2 linked regions of the Xenopus tropicalis genome follow. The protein of the gene in region 1 binds, or shares a complex with, the protein of each later gene. Links are inferred from orthologs where the notes say so. Each region holds a gene or a part of one and is shown in the gene's direction. Other genes may lie near its edges.

The links.
Region 2: the proteins of ywhah (region 1) and numb are in contact, whole or in part, in a crystal structure (PDB 5YQG), measured with the Mus musculus proteins. The link is inferred for Xenopus tropicalis from reciprocal best matches to the Homo sapiens genes YWHAH and NUMB. Residues at the interface, in NP_035868.1 of Mus musculus: Arg57, Arg132, Tyr133, Leu177, Asn178, Val181, Glu185, Ile222, Leu225, Asn229; in NP_001129547.1 of Mus musculus: Gln274, Gly275, Ser276, Phe277.

What each region holds. Positions count from the first base shown.
Region 1 is NC_030677.2:152,232,764-152,237,150, forward strand, and holds ywhah (14-3-3 protein eta), read left to right. Parts: upstream 1-1,534; 5' UTR 1,535-1,666; coding exon 1,667-1,753; intron 1,754-2,325; coding exon 2,326-2,982; 3' UTR 2,983-3,800; downstream 3,801-4,387. Other genes in the region: GATOR complex protein DEPDC5, read left to right, coding at 129-415. UniProt on the Homo sapiens protein: Adapter protein implicated in the regulation of a large spectrum of both general and specialized signaling pathways. Binds to a large number of partners, usually by recognition of a phosphoserine or phosphothreonine motif.
Region 2 is NC_030684.2:106,105,534-106,108,130, forward strand, and holds the end of numb (protein numb homolog), read left to right. Parts: intron 1-210; coding exon 211-899; 3' UTR 900-2,054; downstream 2,055-2,597. UniProt on the Homo sapiens protein: Regulates clathrin-mediated receptor endocytosis. Plays a role in the process of neurogenesis.

The sequences.
Region 1 (4,387 bases):
TATGACCGATGACATCAATAAGCACTGTTTATAAGGATATCATTTTTAGGGTATTCATGACTCTTGTGTATTATTCATGATTCTTGTGCATTATGTTTTTCCTTAAGCAGCCTTCTTTCTGTCTTTAGGTACTGTATTCTTACAGCTGCCTTACTCAAAGCGGAAAGGACAGCAGAGACGTAGGAGGAATTCGACCAGCTCTTCTACTCAGAACCTTTTTGGAGAAGAACGCATAGGGTATAATTGGGCCTACAATACCATGCTGACTAAAACGTGGCGCTCCATTGGTACAGGAGATGAGAGGTTTGCTGACCGACTGCTTAAAGACTTTACTGACTTCTGTGCCAACAGAGATAACAGGTTAGGCACATTCTGGGCAAACTGCTTGGAGAAAATGAACACAAGTGCGCCTTAGATATGCCTGCAGTATCTACGCTGAACAGGAGGATTGCAAGGAGATTGCAACCAAAGTCAAGACAACAGTGTCTATGGTGCATAGACAGTCTCTCCTCCAAGAGGAGCATACTCTGTGCCTTTTCCATTCGTTGCTAACGTGTGTAGAAGTAGTTCTTGCGTTGACCAACCTAAGTTGTAAAATATCATATTCACTATGATAGTGGTTCAAGCTTATTGGACATTCTTTACAAAGACCAGTTCACTTAGGATTGTCTTGAAAATGTAAAGCGTAAAAGCAGTGTTGCACTTTAAAAATAGCTGACACTGGATTATGGCTCATGAAAGGGCAGTGCTGAAGCTGTGCCCTGGCTAAATCCTTGTAGTTTCCCCACAGAGTAGTGCTGGTCGATTTGTATATATACTGGTCTCTCTCCATGTTAATGGGAGAATAACTTATGTTCTCAGTTAACCATGAAGGCTGTGCCTCTGCCCTTGGGGGCCTTGGCTTAAAGTGAAGGATACATGCCATACTGATGCAGTTGCACAGTGCCCAGACAGCAGGCTGCCAAACAGATCAGTGGCTGCTTCTAGAGAAGTGTTTGGCATGCTATGATGTAACATCTATACAGGTACATTGCTGCTTCTGAAACAAAATGTATAGCAGATTTACCAGCTCTGCATAAAGCTTATGGCAGGTGTGGAAATTCATCACACAGTGCTTGAAGAGAAACTGTTGCCATAGGCCCGTATGCTTAGGGACGGGATTTGGAGGTATTTTATGGCAATAACCTTGGAAGTGCGCATTGTTATTCCAGAAAGCTGACAAGAATGTACCTGAGATTCCTTGTGTGAAATACTGATGTAGAACGCTGCATAATAAAGCTGGGCTTTGTAACGGGACTGAAGTTTGTGCGTTACTAAAGAGGGAAGGGGCGCTGTCCTATAAGGACTTGCATTCAGTGACAGCAGCAATTTGTAGCGCTCTCCATTCCCAGCCCCCTCCTACCCCAGGGCCCCCACTTCTTGCAGTGCAATGCAGCACTTCCACTACGCATGCTCTTAGTAGTCTCTATAAATAGATCATGACGTCACCTAGAAATGTTCCGTAAGGCTCCGCCTTTGCCCCGCCCCTCGGTAGTGCGTCCTGGGCTGAAGTGCTGCTAGTAGCAGAACCTGGTCCAGCGCGCTGACAGTGTTCGGGAGCTAGGGTGGTACTGGTACCGGATCCACAGCACAGACCGGCGTCTGATCTAGCCCGCCTGCTGAAAGGATGGCTGATCGGGAGCAGCTGCTGCAGAGAGCCCGCTTAGCGGAGCAGGCGGAAAGATATGAGGACATGGCGGCAGCAATGAAATCGGTAAGTATGTCTTTATAGCCTATATGTGTATATCCTTGTACTAAACAATTAGTATGCCTGTGCAATGAATGGATTTGCCATAGAAACTGCACCTATACACATGAATATCTGTATTTATTGCAATATATGTGCATTGGTAAGCGGATCTGCATGTAGTATGTGGGCGGGGTGGGGCAGCAGTGTATGGGTGCCGGAGAGTGCACCATTGGCACATGCAGCCTTTCTGCTCACAGTAACAGAGGCAACTTCTACCAGTGACACTGTACCACCACTAGCTGGTTCATTCTGTCGCATTTCATTTTTAATTATGACCTAATGGCAGCTTAATCACAGATTAAAACTGGGTGTGATCTCCGTTAGTGAATCACACCTTGGGGTGTATAGAAGTGAGGCACAGATTACAGATCCACAAACAGTGCATTGTATGTGACCAAGAACACAAAGTAGTAGCCACGAAGGCCACTGAGGTCTCCTGTGTATTGCAGGCTACAGCTCCCCATAGAGATTATTATCACTTTCTGATATTATGTGGGCATGTGTTCTGATTGGCATCTTATCCCTGTTTTCTGTAGGTCACAGAACTGAACGAGCCTTTGTCTAACGAGGATCGGAACTTGCTGTCTGTAGCCTACAAAAACGTGGTCGGGGCACGCCGCTCCTCATGGCGTGTGATAAGCAGCATTGAGCAGAAGACACTAGCAGATGGCAATGAAAAGAAACTGGAAAAGGTGAAAGCCTACCGAGAGAAGATCGAGGCAGAGCTGGAGGCGGTATGTAGTGAAGTGCTGTCACTTCTAGACAAGTTTCTCATCAAGAACTGCAACGACTTCCAGTACGAGAGCAAAGTATTCTATCTAAAGATGAAGGGCGATTACTATCGCTACCTGTCAGAGGTGGGCTCAGGAGAGAGAAAGCGAAGTGTGACCGAAGCATCCGAAGCCGCGTACAAGGAGGCCTTTGAAATCAGCAAAGAACACATGCAGCCGACCCACCCCATCCGACTGGGCCTGGCCCTTAACTTCTCTGTCTTCTATTATGAGATACAGGGTAACCCCGAGCAGGCTTGTCTCCTTGCCAAGCAGGCCTTCGATGATGCCATTGCTGAGCTAGATACGCTAAATGAAGATTCCTATAAGGACTCCACCCTCATTATGCAGCTGCTGCGTGACAACCTGACCCTGTGGACAAGTGACCAGCAAGATGAAGAGACTGGAGAAGGGAACAACTAAAGAGGGCCCTGCGTTTTGCTGCTGCCCATTAATGACCCGCTCCCCAACACCACTTGCCACCCACACTTCCAACCCTTAACCCCAAACATGTCCTGTGCTTATCATATCCGTATCATTGGCACAACTGCTCATACTGCTGCCTGCCTGGGGAGAACGGGTTCTTGCGGAGTCCTCTTGGGCATTGCTGGATTGCGTTGGCACATCAGCTGTTTCTTAGGTTTCCCTCGCCTTGAGCGGGGTTGAAGAGAAGCTGCGGTTTAAGAAAGGCGCCCAAACTCTCCTAGTTGATAGGGCAAGTACGGGCTGGAATGAAGCAAAGTGGTCCTGTTTTATTCCGTTAAGATACTCTGGTTTAGTTTTAATTTGTGCAGCATTCCTTGTGCATGTAATATTGCCCTGGTCCCCTTCTGGTGAGGTGCCGCCACAGCTAAGACTGTGATTGGCCAGTGCTCAGAGGGATAGGGAGCCACATCCTTTTTTTTTTTTTTTTTTTTAGCTTACAATAGACGTTTTACATGTGAGCTTTGTGAGGTTTCTCAGTGCCCTTTTAACTTATGGCGTGTTTATAATTCTGCATCTCCTGTGGGTTTGGATGCTCTTTTTTTCATTTTGTTTTATTTTATTTTTTTATTATTTTTCTGCTACTTTTGAGGGCCTCATTATTTGATTGTTAGTTGTGTGCTGGTCAGTCCTTGTATGGTCTGGCTACACCTGCACAGTGTGTACTCGCCTGTTACAATGGATGCTGATATAATGCCAGACACCCAATTTAAATGTCTTGGGATTACTTGGATGAAATAAATGCTGCTTTGAGGATATAAAATCTACACTGGCCTCTTGTGTCTTTCCTAGATTGGGCTTGACATGGATACCTAGCCCTCAGTATCCATATGTAATCCACATTATACCACATCTGGAAGCTAGTTGCTAGGATCAGCCGAGGGTGATAGGGAAAAAGGGTGGGGTTAGGGTTTTAGGCAAAATCACAATTGATTTGATAGTGACAGATGTTTATCATTACCATGAATCATTCATTTTAACTGTATCTTGCTTTTGTCACATGAAACACACATGGATCATGGAAAATCATGAACTTTATATGTATGTGGGAAATATACACCAGTACCAGTAGGCTGCTTAGGGTGCTAGTTATTCAGACACAAGGTTACCTGCGTGATCGACTTGCAGTTTAGTTAGGATGCATGCCTTTAGTTCTACTATGAAATAAAGCCGCACACCCTGAGGCTGCACACACCAATATTCCTTTTTTTTTTAACTATTATTTTAAGATGAGTATTGTTACAGGCTAGTCCCTATTATTTTTGTGGTGCACAACACAAGCACTGATCTAATTCCATCTCACTGTTGTTCTGCCTTTAGAAACCCAGGTGGCTAGCCCCTAAGA
Region 2 (2,597 bases), on another chromosome or scaffold:
TTGCTGCATACAGGATTATTATTTGCTACATACAGTATTATTATTAGCAGCTACTTGAAAGTGGCTAAAATAGCATTCTTTGATTCATGCATTTGTATAACAGACTAGTTTGGAATTTTGACACATACTCTGTTGCCCTATAAAAGGGTTGAGGTTACAACTTGAACTCCTTTCATATGTATACTCACTGTTTTAACTATTTTTTCTTAGGTCCTGTCCCTTCATCTGGTACTCACCAGTCAAACCACAAACGAACACCCTCTGAGGCAGACCGTTGGCTTGAAGAAGTATCCAAAACAATCATGCAAAGACAGTCTCCAGTTCCTGCAGTCCCAACTCAGCCTATGGTACAACCTGCCCTTGCCGCACCACAGCCTAACCAGCCTTACCTGGCCAATGCTTATGTGACCTCACAGTCTATGCCTGTCTCTGTTGTCCCAGGTCTGCACCCTCCCTTCATGCCTGTGCAGCCACCATACTCTGTAGCCAATGGAATGAGCTACCCAGCTTCCAGTGTTCCAGTTGTTGGCATAACCCCTTCTCAAATGGTAGCTAATGTTTTCGGAGTTGCAAGTCCACAGGTATTCCAGCCTAAGCCATCTCCAAATTTAGCCACACAGCAAACCTATCCAACTTATGAAGCATCCAGTGCATCCAGCAGTCCATTCTATAAGCCTCCTGCCCAGCAACAGAATGGCTCTGTTGCTTTTAATGGGGTTGAAAGTAGTGGGTGGGAATTGGGCGCTAAGAGCCAGCAAGCTCCAGCTGCCCCTCCTCCTGTAGACCCATTTGAAGCTCAATGGGCAGCTCTTGAAGGCAAATCTAGACCACGTGCAAACCCATCTCCTACAAATCCTTTCTCTAGTGACCTTCAAAAGACTTTTGAAATTGAACTATAGAGTTGGACTGAACAAGCAAACAGTCTCTGTGAGGAGTAGCAGTGTTTTAAGGATTCCAAATCTCTTCTTGCAAATCCATCTCTTTAGAATTACACATAAAAGGACCAAGAGGGGGGGCATGAAAATTCCATTGGACAGTAACTGCAATGGAGGTCTGTGGGAATATTAAGAATATCCATCCCCACAGATCTCATCTACCCTGCGTTGGCACAGAAAATCAGAGACGAACCTGGACAGTGGTCATGGCAAGGCGGGAGTAAAACTGGCCGCCCACTGGAGATATGACTCTCTGCAGAACCACTGCAGTGCCTGAGCTTCCATATTGAAAGATATGTGTAAATATGTATGGAGACTGAAAGGGGGGTGGGGGGGAAATGTTTAACTGCCTTTTATGCCAAAGGGGGCTGGAGCACACTGTTGAGTATTGCATTGCAGCCCGCTCTGGCAGCAAAGGGCTCAAGCCAAAATCTTTATTTTTATGCATTACAAATATTTTAAATAGCGTGGGTTAATTCATAAGTTTGTAAGTAATCTTGCCAAAGGTTAAACGAAGCTGGAAAGTTCAGTTGTCATTAATTGTATATAAGATTTAGCTGCTATTTCCTAAAGAACTGGACTGGCTGTGGTTTTATTTTCATGCGCTTTAGGCCACCTTCCTTGTATGTAGCACATTGCTTTAAACAATCACGACCAAGAGAAATATCTCTATTATACTTTTAATGAAAGAGCAGTATTGCATGGTGTAACAGCCATAGCGGACTATTTTCTTTCCTGTAATCCGATATTACACAAGAAAGATATATATATTCTCTATATAAATGTTTCTTTTTGGCATACCGCTGGAGTTTTTATATATGTATACTTATATATATTTATATATTAATATATATGATTATATATATTAATATATATGTTTTAGACTTTTAATACCACTATGATCTAATGCACAGAAGACTTTATTTCATTCTCATTATTGACTTTCACTGTTTCTGTAAATTCTTTTCATTCATAGTTTTATTTTTTTTATTGTATACCTCAAATCATCCTAAGCACACACTCTCTTCTTTATGTGTAAATGTTGGTTTCGCATCTATGTGTATATTTGTACTGATTTACAGTCTTCTTTAACAAATAAATGTTGGTGGTGGAAAAAAAGCTTCTTTTCTTGTGGTTTTCTTGTGCTTGGCCAATTGTAGTTTTTTTTTTTTTGTTTTTTTTTTTACTTTTCTGTGTTAAATGTTTTTTTGTTTTTTTTTTTGTATTAAATCCGTTTATTTTCAAAAAGATAGTAAAGCTTCACATTATACATTTATAGCCTTTTACATTCAGACAATTTTGTTTCCACATTCTTTACATCTTATCTATTTCTAATATAGATACCTTAGAAAGAGGCTATCGTATATGTTGAGGAATAGAAAGGAATGAGGGAGGGTAGGGGTAGGACTAGGTAATGATAGAGGAAAGTAAAGATGAGTGGAAAAGAAATAGAAAATACAAGAAAGATATAAACTACAGAAGTGGTGCGGTCTTCCTGTGTTAAATGTTATGCTTTAAAGCAGTGATCCCCAACCAGTGGTCTGTGAGTGACATGTTGCTCACCAACCCCTTGGATATTGCTCCCAGTGGCCTCAAAGCTTATTTTTGAATTTCTGGCTTGGAGGAAAGTTTTGGTTGCATAAAACCCAGTGAAAAGCCAAA